Struthio camelus: one gene and its partner. The protein of the gene in region 1 purifies or fractionates together with the protein of each later gene. This does not show direct contact. Links are inferred from orthologs where the notes say so. Each region holds a gene or a part of one and is shown on either strand. Other genes may lie near its edges.

The links. The genes of interacting proteins can lie anywhere in the genome.
Region 2: the proteins of CCNA2 (region 1) and PHF8 purify together in Homo sapiens (affinity purification with mass spectrometry; 3 studies listed by BioGRID and IntAct, counting the BioPlex papers as one, with this or other methods). This does not show direct contact. The link is inferred for Struthio camelus from reciprocal best matches to the Homo sapiens genes CCNA2 and PHF8.

The regions. Positions count from the first base shown.
Region 1 is NC_090945.1:19,619,247-19,626,170, reverse strand, and holds the start of CCNA2 (cyclin-A2), read right to left. Parts: upstream 3,017-6,924; coding exon 2,861-3,016; intron 2,672-2,860; coding exon 2,410-2,671; intron 2,302-2,409; coding exon 2,186-2,301; intron 1,808-2,185; coding exon 1,584-1,807; intron 1,043-1,583; coding exon 838-1,042; intron 1-837. Other genes in the region: BBS7 (Bardet-Biedl syndrome 7 protein), read right to left, coding at 4,228-4,364, 5,370-5,493, 6,703-6,806, 6,915-6,924. UniProt on the Homo sapiens protein: Cyclin which controls both the G1/S and the G2/M transition phases of the cell cycle. Functions through the formation of specific serine/threonine protein kinase holoenzyme complexes with the cyclin-dependent protein kinases CDK1 or CDK2.
Region 2 is NC_090979.1:567,380-574,710, forward strand, and holds the start of PHF8 (histone lysine demethylase PHF8), read right to left. Parts: upstream 3,016-7,331; 5' UTR 2,566-3,015; coding exon 2,468-2,565; intron 2,383-2,467; coding exon 2,297-2,382; intron 2,196-2,296; coding exon 2,087-2,195; intron 1,853-2,086; coding exon 1,692-1,852; intron 736-1,691; coding exon 594-735; intron 514-593; coding exon 327-513; intron 238-326; coding exon 75-237; intron 1-74. Other genes in the region: serine/threonine-protein kinase WNK3, read right to left, coding at 5,347-5,487, 5,629-5,804, 5,902-5,991, 6,243-6,451, 6,547-6,776. UniProt on the Homo sapiens protein: Histone lysine demethylase with selectivity for the di- and monomethyl states that plays a key role cell cycle progression, rDNA transcription and brain development.

The DNA.
Region 1 (6,924 bases):
ACACTGTTCCCATGCAAACTGTTTCAATACCACGTTTTTATCTTTAGAGGTAAGTAAGATCTAGAGGGAAGAGTCCAGTCACGTCTGACCTTCGCCTAGCGAGACAACTGCTTCCATTTAGCGTTTCTGGCACCTGCCACACCTGGCATCTTTGCGTTTAAGAAAGCTTAACTTTATCCAGATAAGCCCGAGATGTTTGCTCTGCTTTGCTTCGAAAAAATAGCTTCTGGATTTAAAGCTCGATGCTTGTTCCCCAAAAAACAAGTGAGTGTCCTTTCTAGCCAAACTGAACCACTGAGTGGACAAGTCCACCCAGACAAGATACTAGCTATTCAAGACGTTAGTTTTCGGTGACCAATACGTTTATGCATTGATCCCTATTCAGTTTCCACAGGAAATTTTAACATGGAGACTTAAGAAACGATGTCCCTTTTTGGGGAGGAGAGTGTTAATTTTAGGTGGGAAAGCATCAGGGAAAACATCCAGCACGGAAAAAGACCCTGAATTTATCAATCTCAGCCTGCTTTGAGTAAGCATTCATGCTTGAGCCAGGTCAGGTGCCAGAGTAGCTCCACTACTAAGTAGCAGACAAAAGTGTTAGTTTCCAATGGCAGAGCCCCACCACTGGAGGAGCACATGGCACAGCAGGCGCGCTCTCCAGAAGTCTCCTCAGGAGTCACGTTACTGATTTAAGAAAGACTGGGAGACAGAAAAGCCTGGACTGAAGTATCCTTTACCATTTTTCCTTTTCTATTGGGAATAGAAAACAGAGCTTGTAAGGTGCCTTAATAAGATAACTTTCCAGTTACGCAGATTCAACTATTAATTCTTACTTACCATTGATAAGCTCTCAACTTTAGCACTTGTCTGCTCATGTAGGAAATACTGGGTAAGGAATTGGTTGATCGTTGGAGCTGCCAAGTCAAATGACAAAACCTTCAAAATTAAGTGCTCCATCCTTAGAACTTGCTTCTTGGTATAGGTGTCATCTGTGATGTAGACAAACTCTGCCACTTCAGGAGGGTAGATTTCTTCAAACTTCCTGCCATAAAGAACAGTTATAAGCAAGTAATTGCGTAGCAGAGAACCAAGTAACCAGCAACAGTTAGTGAAAGACAAGTAGCTGTATACTGTAACTCAATAAGTTTGCTGCATCCAGTTCACTAGGTCTTGGATCTGCAGACTCTGAAGTTATGGAGAGCTACGCTCAGCAATTTTACCATTAAGTACTTTGGGACTCAAGAGTTACTGAAGTTCCTGAAAGTGTTAGGAGACTAACAGTTGCGAGCAAAATTTCCTTTTCACGTTCTTTCCCCCAAATACGTTTGAAAAGTCTTTTGCTGCCGCAACTAGAAATAACGAATCCTCACATTAGGCCAATCCACAAACACAGCCTAGAACCTCGCTTGCAGAGTTTGACACAGGCTACCAAGCTCTTAGGGGGATAACTGCTGCTTCTTACCTAGTGTGAAACCATCCCTAGTCAGTCTGCCTACAGACAACAAAACATGATAGCCACAAGAGAAGATTTCCATCTGTATGAGACCAGCAGGTGGAATTTTAAATTAAGCAGTTTCACTTACGATGCAAGCAACATAGCTGCAGTACCCACAAGCTGCAGTTTTCCTCTTAGAACAGACATTGAAGAAAGAAACCGATCAATGTAATTTACAGCTAAGTGCAGGGTTTCATTCTGTAATTTGTATTCTTCTCCAACTTCCACCAGCCAGTCCACAAGAATAGCCCGCATGTTGTTTGTGATATCAGGTTGCTTCTTCATGTAACCCATTTTAGGCTTGCATTTCACCTGTAAGTTTTGATAACATACAAGGTTTAGTTTGCATTAAGTGCTTGCAGGGAAGCAGGCATTTCAACTCTATTTATCGTAGTTAAAGGGTTTTAAGCAGGGCAGAAGCAGCCAGCAACGGCAAACGTAGGATCAGCAAGCACTTTTTCTGTAGTCTTGCTTTCCCGCTTAGGCCGCAGCGCGTAGCACAGTCACAGGACGCAAGAGCAGTCCTGCGTTCGCAGCAGCGGACACAGCACCCATCTTCTCCCTCTCCCTTTCTAGCAGCCTTCTGCTTTGGCCACCGTAGCAGTTAAGTAGCGCTCCGGTACGTTTCTCGGCCCGGGCTTTCTCCCGCCCTTAGCCCTGCTCGAACCGCGGCAGCTCGCAGCTTCTCACCTCCATTTCCCTGAGGTACGTGTGGATATCGCCGACGTAGTCCGGCACGTTGTTGACGTTGGGGCTCCTCTCTCCCGCGTCGGAGGTTATCGAGATGTCCATAACGCTGGGCGAATCTGCGGCGGGGCACAACGGCCGCGTGAGCAGCGGCACGGGCGGCCGCGGCCCGCCGGCGGCCTCGGGGCAGCGCCCGGCCGCCCCGCCGCGACGCGCCCGGCACTCACCGCAGCTCAGCTCCAGGCTGCTGCCCAGCGGCGCCAACGGCCGCCGCTCCCCCAGGCCGCTCACGGCCGCCCGCAGCCCCAGCGCCGCCGCCGCCGCCGCCTCCTCCTCCTTCTCGGCCGCCGCCGCCCCGCGTCGCCGCCGCCGCTGCTGCTCCCCGTCGGGCTCGTCCACATGGATGGCGAAGGCCGGCTGGCCGCCGCCGCCCGGCCGCCCCGGTGCCGCCGCCGCTGCATGGCCCTCGCCACCACCGCTCCGCGCCGCCTGCGAGGGGGCGGCCCGTCAGCACCGCCCGGCCCGGCCCGGCCCCCGCTGACAGCCGCCCTGACAGCTCCCGCCGCGCCAAGATGGCCACGGCCGGCGCCCCCGGCCCGCGCGCATCGCCCCGCCCCCCCGCCGCCGCGCGCCCCCGCCGCCGCCCCGCGCGCGCGCCCCCGCCCGCCCCGCACTTGCCTGCGGCGGGGGCCCGGCCCGCGCCGGGGGGCCCCGCAGCAGCCCCAGCGCCACGCGGGCGGCGGCGGCGGAGGAGGAGGGCGGCGGCGGCGGCGCTGCTTTGCCGCCACCGCCGGGCGGGACGTTCTCCTGGTTCTCCTGCTCCGCGAACATCATCGCGCCGCCGGGCCGGGGCCGGGGCCGGGCGGCCCCGCTGCCGGCGGAGGGAGGGGAGGGCAGGGCAGGGCACGGGCGCGACGCGTGCCGGCTCCCGGGGCGGCCGAGTGTCGCGCGGCGGCGCCGCTCTCGCCGTTCAAGTAGCCCGCGACTATTGAACCGGCCAATGAGGAGCGCGCGCGGGCGGCGGCGCGTCACGCGGCCTACGGGCAGCGGCAGGGGCCAAGGGAGAACGGGGAGAGGCGCGCTGCGGAGCGCAGGCGTGGCCTGCGGCGAGAGGGGGCGTGGCTTGGGGAGCGGGAGGAAGCGAGCATGCGCAGTGGGCGGCGGGCAGGGAGTCCCGCCCCCCCCCGGGTCCCGCGCCAGGGAAGCAGCCCAGCACTGGTGCTTGAACTGTTTTTCAATCTTTGCCTTCCTACTTAATGTCATGACTTATTCTTCTTTATTTTCGTTGCTCAGGAAATAAGAACACACACACACACACACCTCTATCCAGAGGCTGTTTAATGTCTTTTAAGTTTAAATTAAAAAGTCAGATGCTAAAGAGCACACTGATTTTTCAGTAAAGAGTACTGGAAAGTAACTTGGAATGAGTTACAAAATGAAGAATTGAGGCAAATGAGACGCATGGAGGAAATTTAATGCAATCCATTCTAAACAAGAGTTCACATGCAGTTTTTAAAGTAATCGTGTAAATCTAAAATTCAGAGATAATTCTCCCCACTTTCATGTGTGTCAGTTACATACAATGTGCTGATAGCATTGAAGCACTTGCTCAGTACCGCTAACAAATAATATAGCTACACATCAAACAGCTGATTTTCTCCTAACTGTCCTAAGTCCATGAAAACAAATTTCCTCATACATTCTTCCAAATGGAGAATATTCCTATTTATAGTCTCTAACAATACTGAAAACGTACTCCTGCAAAAAGGCTATTCAGTATCTGGTTCTCTAGTTTTCCTTAGCTATGAAGAACATTTTGTGTATATATAAATGACGTGTGCATTTAACACGTACAACAGTTTATATGAACTAAAATGGACCAGTATTCAATATGGTAATAAGTAAGAATAAAATGAAAGCGTAAAAGGAATAATAAAAACATTTCTCAAAAAATAATGTATTCGACTCCATAGTGGACTGCCTTGGTTGAAAAAATAAAAATAAAAAAAAATAAATCACTCCGCCTTTTCCTTGTTGCTTCCAATTCAGGCTGCAGCCTCAAAAAAAGCAATTAGTCCATCTTGATCACAGCCATCCAGAATTTCCAGAAGAAGAGGAACTTTCGTTTTCACATTGGTGCCTTTAAATTTAAATTTATCTATGAAGAGATCTGTGATCATACCTACAAAATAAAGTTCCAAGATTTTTATTTGCCTTGTTTTCACCATGAGATATCTCTACTATTAACTCTTTGCTATGTATAGACTATTCTAGTCGATTTTGGTTTTAGACACGAGACCGTTTTTAAACTTCATGTTTTAAACAATGATTTTCTTTTGAATAAACCCAAAGCACTCTCCTGTTAGCCCAGATTCCAGCTTCATTCCAAAGCAGGTATTTCTGCCTTAGAATTACCCATACTTGAAACACTCCGGAGAAAGGAACTGTCAAAGGGTATGAAAGGAGAACTGGGTTTATAATGGATACATTATCAAATTAGCACCTGGCAGAGATTACTTGAGCTAAAGGCTATATGGGGAGCACCAGAAAAGTTAACAGAATTTCCTTCACTTAATTACATCAAAGATTCTCCCTTCCCATCCCATGTGTATTTTTCTGCTTTTCTGTTAACTTGTAAAAGTCTTTTTCCTGTGGCAGAACTTAATCACTCATTCAACTTAAATATATTCTTAAACGCCATCCTGAATTAGAATACATTTCTGCATCATATGCATAAAGACAAGGATCATCCGAATATGAAAAGCTGCGTAATAGAAAATACAAAAGTAACTTGCTAATAATCCTGTATTTGCATTTGCAGCACTAAGCTTATGATAGTAAGACAATTTTAGAAATTCTCAGGCAAATAATTCTTGAGGACCTTTGGAGAGTTATTTAAATTTGTAGTAGCAGAACCAGTTTTGGTGTGTGCTAAGTTCTACTACCTTACCTTTAACTTTGGAAGGTTATGATCAAAAATACTGTGTAGCCATCCAGCCTAGCTGTATGAGCAGATGGACATATATGGCTAGACACCTCTAGGTCTCCCGAAGCTATTTAAAAGTACCCCCTTATCATATTATTTCAATGCTACAGATACTGACTTCCTAACTATTTCAGTCACGTCCAATGTGTTCTCTGAACATTAATTTGCATTTAGAAAAAAAAGTTGGGTTAATCAACACACCATAAAGTCTCTCGAGATGTGCAGGTTGTTTCTTGTATTCCTCAAGCAGCTGATCTGCCTCTTCTAAAATGCTACGGTACTTAGGTAGCAGGAAGTCCACATTTCCTTCATGAACCTGTAATTCCTCAAAGACATTTTAAATTGTGAAAATTAGAGACTGGTACGTACTAAACAAACATAAAAGCAACAAAAAAAAAAAATCAGCTTGGATCTGACAGGAGGAAATACCTCAGGGACAATGCCCTTCACCATAACTCTTGCTAGTTTAGAAGTGCCTTATTTTCTAGGTCTTCTAATGAAATGCCAGATGTTACTTGTCACTTCATACATTAGATTCTCACAATGCTACGTGTTACATCTTCGAGCTCCGAGTGCTGCCAGAACAGGATCACTCTGCAGCTCAGCCTCTACAGAATCAAGCCTAACGAAGGCCCAAAGCCTTCACCACGCTTTTACAGAATAAACACCTTTAACAGAATAAGTATATTTACAGAGTAAGTACATTCTTTTACAGAATAAGTAAATTCCTAGGAAGTGTAGCACACATTAAAAGTCTAAAGGTAAAAGTAAATCCCAAAAGTACTGCTGAACTCCTAACAGCAAAAGGTTTTAAAGACATCTTCTAAACGCCTCAGTCTACTATTAGATCAAATCAACATAGATCCTTTTATCCCATACAGAAAGACTGGTTTTTTTCTAGACTGAAGGTAATTATGCATTTGAGTCTCCAGGAATAATAGCTTTTATCAGTCGCCAGATTATTTCACTGCCTCTTAATAAATAAATTATTTAGATACCAGTGACACAAAGTTTAAGGTTTGCTAACAAAAAAAGCCTAAAAGCAAGCACAAAACACTTTCTCCAAGAGCTGCAACATCATTATTTATGCAGAAACATATCACGCAGTAAGAATAAATTATTATTTTGTTATCTCTCAGGTTTGTTTAATCAAGCTTAAGTAAAATACTTTTACTGATAATAAAATAAAAATTTACAATATATTGTGTGGTCACCGGTAGTAAAGTTTTTCCACTAACCAAAGAGTTCAGACAACTAGTCCTTTGGTGGAGGCCAGCGCAAGAAGGAATCAGCTGCCCATGTCTACTATCTGATTTAAACATCCTCAACAACAATCAGTAATTCTATGTTTTTCACTGTTATATACTACAAATAGGAGTTTTACTTTAAAATGTTTGTCTCCTAGACGACTACTACACATGTATTGGGAACAGAAAAAGATTAGACAACATTATAACACATGCTGACTTGAGCCTTACAGCTTGATATCTGCCAACATAACCCACACAAAAATCCTTCAGAGGAGAATACTTACTTTCAAAGCATCTATTAAGTGAACCTTCTTGGCCAACAGCTGCTGATACTCTAATTTGGGGTGGATGAGCTTTAATGTATACCTCACAGATTCTTCATTTATGTCTAGTAGGGCATCAAAAAACCACCAAAAACAACAAGCAAATGAGTAATGTTTCATTTAAAAGAATATAAAATGAAGTCAAAGACAATGAAACAGTAAGGAAGTTTTACCATATGATAT
Region 2 (7,331 bases), on another chromosome or scaffold:
ATGAAGACGGATAAAGGACCTGGGGGGATCTGGAGAAGATCGGAGAGAACCCAGAGGATGTCGCGGGATCGTACCAGTGGGGATGAAGAGGGTCTGGCCCTGACGCAGGGGGCAGCGGTAGCACCGATCCACCTGGTCGCCGAAGAACATCTCGCTCTGGTTGCTGGAGCTGCTCCAGGCCTCGAAGAGGGCCAGGTTGGCCGGGGTGGGCCGGGCCAGGTAGAAAACCTTTTCGCCCTGCGGGACGCGAGAGGCGGCGTCGGCAGGAGCGCGCGGCCGTCCCGTAGACCCCAGGAGCCTCCGACACCCCCCGCCCCGGGGCGCACCCGCAGCACGTGGTACCACACGGAGGTGCCGCCGAAGTCGATGTGGAAGTCGGTGTAGCTGTCGCGGGCGCCCATGAGGCAGTACTTCTGCACGCTGGGCCGCTCGAACACCGACTCGCCCGGCCACAGGTTCTCCACCCACGAGAGCTTGCGCACGATGCGCGGCGTCTCCACCAGGTTGGACAGCCTGCGGGCCGCGAGGGCGTCAGGGCCGGGGGACCCCGTGCCGCGGCGGGTTGGACGCGACGCGGGGCCGGGGCGCCGTACCGGGTGTCGGAGAACTCGAGGCTGATGACGTTGAGGACGCGGTCGCGCCGGGCGCCGCAGAAGTAGGCCACGAAGTCGCCCAGCCGCATGCGGCAGTCGGCCTGGCGCGCCACGTCGATCACGTCGATCTCCTTGTCCGGGCCTGGCGCGGGCAGGGTGGACGGCTGGGGGGCAGACACGCGCCCCCACGCCGGCCCCCCAACCTGCCCCAGACCCCTCCCAGCCTGCCCCACGGGCCCCATACGTACCCTAGGCACCCCCTGCCTGCCCCAGAGACGTCCCTGTGTACCCCCAGGCTGCCCCATGGGCCCCATAGATGCCCTATGCACCCTCTGGCTGCCCCATGGGCCCCATACGGGCCCTAGGCACCCCCAACCTGTCCCAGAGATACCTCTATGCACCCCTAGTCTGCCCCAGAAATACCCCTATGCACCCCTAGTCTGCCTCACAGGCCCCATAGACACCCTGGGCACCCCCTGTCTGCCCCATAGATGCCCCTACACACTTCCAGCCTGCCCCACGGGCCCCATACACAACCTATACACCTCCTGCCTGCCCCACAGACGTCCCTCTGTACCCCCAGGCTGCCCCACAGGCCCCATACGCACCCCCAAGCTGCCCCAAAGACATCCCTCTGTACCCCCAGGCTGCCCCACGGGCCCCATAGACACCCTATGCACCCCCAGGCTGCCCCACAGGCCCCATACACACTCTATGCGCCCTCTGCCTGCCCCATACACACCCTATGCACCCCCAGACTGCCCCATACGCACCCTACACACCCCCAAGCTGCCCCAAAAACATCCTTCTGTACCCCCAGGCTGCCCCACGGGCCCCATAGACACCCTATGCACCCTCTGCCTGCCCCATACACACCCTACGCACCCCCAGGCTGCCCCACGGGCCCCACAGACACCCTAAGCACCCCCTGCCTACCCCACAGATGCTCCTATACACCCCTAGCCCGCCCCACGGGCCCCACAGACGCCCCTACGCGCCCCTGGGCTGCCCCACACGCGACATAGGCGCCGCTACGGGCTCCCACGCGCCCTGAGCCTGCCCCGCAGCCCCACCGCCGCCGCCGGCCGGGCTCCTCACCCACGTAGTGCTCGATGTCGCGGGCGGTGAAGGTGGGGGGCGGCAGGGTCATGCCCAGCCCCTCCTTGCGCAGCACCAGGATGGGGACGCTGAAGCTGTTCTCCTCCAGGTACTCCACCGTCAGCTGGGCCCCGCTGGGCTTCAGCAGCACCTCGTCGGCGCTGGAACGGCCCCCGTAACGCCCGGCTCCGCGCCCTACGCCCCCCCCCCCAACCCCGGGGCGAGGGGAGCGACGCCGACGGCGCCCGCGCGCGGCCGGTTCGGACGTCCCGGCGAAGCCGCGCTTCGCTCGGGGCGGGGGGCTCGGCGCCCACCGCCCCGAGCGCCCCGTCAAGCGGGTATAAAACCAAAACCGCCCCGACGCCGGGGCAGAGCGGCCCCGTCACCCCTCTCACCTGGGGAAAGTCCGGCCTCGCAGCTCCCGGACGAACTGGGCGCTGCCGGTGCGGACGGCGCGGCCGGGCTCGGCGTCCGGCTGCTTGGCGAGGCCGCGGCGCCGCTTCACTGCGGAGTCGGGGAGGGGGGAGATGCCGGCGTTGAGGAGACGCCGCGAACCGCGTGTCCCCCCCCCCCAAAAAACCACACCGTCCCGAGCGGATACTCACTGACGGAGGGGCCGTGCAGCTCCTGGCACTTGGGGCAGTGGTAGAGGTCGATCTCGGCCGCCGCCTCCTCCTCCACTCCCACGCAGCTGTAGGCGCGCGTGTATAGGGGACGGCTCGGCCCCCGCCGCCTCCCCGACCCCGGCCCCCCCCCCCGGCCCCGCCGGCCCCCACCTGCCGTGGAACCAGTCCTGGCACACGTCGCACTCGATCATGAAGCGGGTCACGTCGTAGGGCAGCCGGCACAGGCAGTACACGGGCACCGAGGCCATGGCGCCCACCCGCCCCTCCCCCCCGCTATAGGTGCCCCCCTCCCGCTATAGGCACCCCCTCCCCCGCTATAGGCGCCCTCCTCCCCGGCGGGACCCCCTCTCCCCGCCCCAGGGCATCAGCCCTGCGGCGTCGTATAGGGGCAGCCCCCCCTACCCCCCCCTCCGTGCTGGGGGGGCACCAGCGGGGCTTCCCCTATAGAAAAGGGCTGCTCGTAGCCCCTATAGATCTCTCCTGCTTTTTGCTATGGGGGGGGGGGGAACTTTACGGGATGGTTTCGGCTCCTCTCCGCGCGGACCCGGCCTCACCGCCGCTCCCTTTGCCCTATAGACCCCCCCCTCCCCCTATGGGGAATTCAGCTCCCTATAGGGCCCCCCCCTTCTATAACGGCTCTACCTCCCCCTTAACCTCCCTATAACACCCCTCTATAGGGTCTCCCCGGGTCAACGCGGCCCTGCCCCCCTCCACCCACCTCTATAGCCCCCCCCAGCTCTATAGGCCACCTCTGGCCCTATAGGCCCCCCCCGCCGGCTCTATAGGGCCCCGGGACGCCCCACTCCGGGTCTATATGGGCCCGGGACCCCTCCCCCCGGGCCTATAGGCCCCCCCCGGACGCTCCCCTCGGCTCTATAGGGCCTCGACCCCCCCCGCCGAGGTCCGCGACCCCCTTAAAGGCCCCCCAGGCCCCGACGCCGGTGCCGCCGCCGCCGCCGCCGCTGCTGCTCGGCTCCGGCCTCCCAATAAAGTTTATTCAAACGCGGAACGGGAAGGAGGGGGCGGGGCCGCGCCGCCATGTTGAGGTCACCGGAAGGTGGCGGAGGCGGGGGCGGAGCCGAGCGTCCCGGCCGCGCCGCCATCATGGGGAGGTCGCGCAAGCGCAGCGCCCACGCAGGCAGCGGCCGCCATGCTGGGAGTGGCGGGACACGCTCGCGCTCTCTCTCTCTCTCTCTCTCTCTCTCTCGCTCTCGCTCTCTCTCTCTCTCTCTTCCCCCCCCCAACACACCCGGCATGTCCCGCGGCGGCTGCCGTCCAGACGGCCGCCATCTTGGGAGTGGCGCGGACGCCGCGCCGCGGCCATATTGGAAGTGACGCACCGCCTCACAAACACCCGCTTCTCCACGTGGGTTTTTATTATTTTCCCTTTTTTTGGTGTTTTTTTTTGCCGTTTTTACTCCTTTGTAACAATCCGTCCAAAAAAAAAAATAAACGCGGGGCCGCGCCAGCCCCCGCCCCCGGAGCAGACCCGAAACCTCGCTGGCCTTTTGGGGGGGGGGAGACCATGGAGGGGGGGAAGGGACTGAAATGAGGTAGATGGACCAAAACCCCACGTTTACGCCCCAAATCGCGTGGGGAGGGGGAAGGGGGGGCGCAACTGGGAGTTTTGGGACGAAACAAGGGGGTTTGGGGGCCAAAGAGAGGCAACCGCGGCGCTGGGGGGAGGCCCACGCACCGTTGTCGGGTGAACGAGGGCCTTTTGGGGGGAAACGGGGCGGTTTGGGGGCATTTTGGGGTGGAACGGCGGGTTTCGGGGCAGAACGAGGACGTTCGTGAGGTGACCGAGGGGTTTCAGCTCCACTGGGGTGGTTTGGAAACCGAATGAGGCGGTTTGGGATGTGGGGGGGGGGAACCGGCAGTTTTGGGGGAAAATGAGGTGTTTTGGGGCAAAACCGGGCCACTTTGGGGTCGGACGAGCGGGGCTGAACCGAGGCCGTTAGGGGCAACCAAGAGGAAAACGGGGCGGGGGAAACGTGGGCGTTTGGGTCAAACAAGGGGGTTTCGGGGTGAAACGAGGCAGTTTGGGGCAAAACGGGGGGGCCTTGGGCACATGGGGAGGTTTCGGGGTGAAACGTGGTTTTAGGATGAAACAGGCTTTAGGGTGAAACGAGGCAGTTTTGGCTCAGCTGAGGCAGCTCGGGGTCAACCGAGGCAGTTTTGGGGTGAAAGGGGGAGGTTTGGGGGTGAAACGAGGTGGTTCTGGGGTGGAACAGGTTTTTGGGGTGAAATGAGGGGTTTTGGGGATGAAATGGGGCGGTTTTGGGGTGAGACTGGGCAGTTCCAGGGTGAAATGGGGCAGTTCTGGGCTGAAATGAGGTGGTTTGGGGGTGAAACAGGGCATTTTGGGGGTGAAACGAGGCTGCTTTGGGGTGAAACGAGGCTGCTTTGGGAGTGAAACAGGGCAGTTTTGGGGTGAAACAGGGCAGTTCTGGGGTGAAAGGGAGTGGTTTGGGGTGAAACAAGGCAGTTTGGGGGTGAAACGGGGTTGTTTTGGGGTGAAACAGGGCAGTTCTGGGGCGAAAGGGGGTGGTTTTGGGGTGAAACAGGGCAGTTTTGGGGTAAAACAAGGCAGTTCGAGGGTGAAAGGGGGCAGTTTAGGGGTGAAAGAGGCTGGTTCTGGGGTGAAAGGGGGCAGTTTTGGGGTGAAATTGGGCGGTTTGGGGGGGAAACAGGGCAGTTTGGGGTTGAAACGAGGCTGTTCTGGGGTGAAAGGGGGCAGTTTAGGGGTGAAACAGGCTGGTTTTGGGGTGAAAAGGGGCAGTTTTGGGGTGAAATGAGGTGGTTTAGGGGTGAAACGGGGCGGTTCTGGGGTGAAACAGGCTGGTTCGGGGGTGAAATGGGGCGGTTTTGGCGTGAAAGGGGGTGGTCTATGGGTGAAACGGGGCGGTTCGGGGGCGAGACGAGGCGGTTCTAGCACGAACCGGGCAGCTCCTGGCTCGGCGGAGACGGCGCGGGGGCCGGCGGCGGCGGCTGTCCGGGGGCGACGGCGTCCGGCATCGTCGTCTCCCTCACTTGGGCGCCGGCGGGACGGGGCAGCGCAGGGCCGGACCCGGGGGGCCGGGCGGAGGCGTCGGGACCCACCGGGGCGGGTAGGGGCCGCAGCGGGGCAGCCGGACGCCGCGGAGGGTGGACGCCCACGAGGACGAGCCCTGCGGCGCCGGCGGAAAGAGAGACACAGACAAGAGACGGGACGGGGAGGGAAGAGGATCGGGGCGTGGAAGGGGGAAGGAGGTGGCAACTCAAAGCAGGGCCCCCCGGAGCGGACCCAGGCGTCCGGGAGCCCCCCTCACCTCGACGGTCCTGGCCCGGGCGTCGGGCTCCGGGCGACCCCGGTTCTGCCGGAGCTGGTTGAGGCTGGGCTTGAGGCCCGGCGCGCCGGCCGTCTCTCGCGCCCACTCGTCCACCAGCCGGTGGAAGTCGTCCGTGAAGAGGCCTTTCTTGGCGGCCGGCGGCGGCCGGCAGGGATCTGCGGGACGCGGGCGCCGTTAAGCTGCCGGCGAGGGGCCCAGGCGTCCTGGGGCCGCGGGGTTTTTGGGAGGGGGGAGGCGCACGTCCTCCGGTACCTGGCGGAGCCGGACCCTGGGAGCCGCTGGGGGGCTGCGAGTCGCTGGCGGCGGAGCAGGAGGAGCGGGGGGCCGGCGGGCCGCCGCGCTCTGGGGACGCGGCGGGGATTCGCTGGTGGCTGCTACGGGGCTGAGCCAGACCCCCGAACCGCCCCCCCCCCCCCGAAAACCCAGGCGTCCCCGTCCCCCCTCCCCGGAGCGGTCCGAGCCCCCCGCGGCGGGCCCAGGCGTCCCCCCTCCCCGGAGCGGTCCGAGCCCCCCGCGGCGGGCCCAGGCATCCCCCCTCCCCGGAGCGGTCCGAGCCTCCCGCGGCGGGCCCAGGCGTCCGGGCGCGTGCTCACCTGCGAGCGCGGGGCCGGCGTCGGGGCCGGGGGCCGGCGGGCGCCCCCGGGCTTTGCCTTTGAGGGCCCGGGGCCGGCGGGGGGAGGCGGGGGGCGGCCCCGGCTCGCCGGGCTCCCCCCGGGCGTCCTTGAGGGCCCGCAGGCGGGCGTAGAGCTCCTGCAGTTCCCGGTCCTGCTGCGCCCGCAGCGTCACCACCTCCTGGATGTGCCTGGCGAGGACGGGGGGGACGCGACGGGGCCGTCACTCGGGGGCCGAGGAGGGTGGCCCCGGACGCCTGGGCCCCTTGCCCGGCCTTCTCCTTACTTCTCCCGCAGCTGCTGCAGCTCGGCCTTGAGGTCCTCGTCCTCGAGCTCGGAGTCGCCGTCGCTGCTCATGGGCGACGAGGGCGAGTGGGCGCCGGAGCCCGGGCGGCGCGGTCCGTCCCGGGGGGCGGCCGAGGCCTCGCTGTCCGAACCCGATCCCCCCGGCGGGCTGCCCGGTGCTGCCTGGGCGCCGGGGGGCTCCTCCGCCCCCCGCGCCGGCACCGCCACCACCTGCGGCGGGGGAGAGAGATGGGAGACGATGCGCTCAGCGGCGGGGAGCCGGACGCCGGGGCCCCTTCGCTGGGGGGAAGGAGCAGCGAGGCAGGCTGGGGGTTCAGGGACGGCTCTTTGGGGGGGTCTCTGGGAGAGGTTGGGGGTCCCTGGGGCATTTTGGGGGTCCCTGAGGTGGCACCCATTCCCCTCTAGGTGGCCCTGGGGCATTTTGGGGGACCCCTAGGCAGCTCCCATCATCTCTGGGGGGTCCTTGGGCATTTTGGGGATCCCTGGGGTGGCTCCTGTCATCTCTGGGGGGTCCCTGGGGCAGCTCCCATCATCTCTGGGGGTCCCTGGGGCATTCTGGGGATCCCTGGGGTGGCTCCTGTCATCTCTGGGGGTTCCTGGGCAGCTCCCATCATCTCTGGGGGGTCCCTGGGGCAGCTCCCAGCCCCTCTGGGGGTCCCTGGGGCATTTTGGGGGACACCTGGGCAGCTCCCAGCCCCTCTGGGGGTCCCTGGGGCATTTTAGGGGACCCCTGGGCAGCTCCCGTCCCCTCTGGGGGGTCTCTGG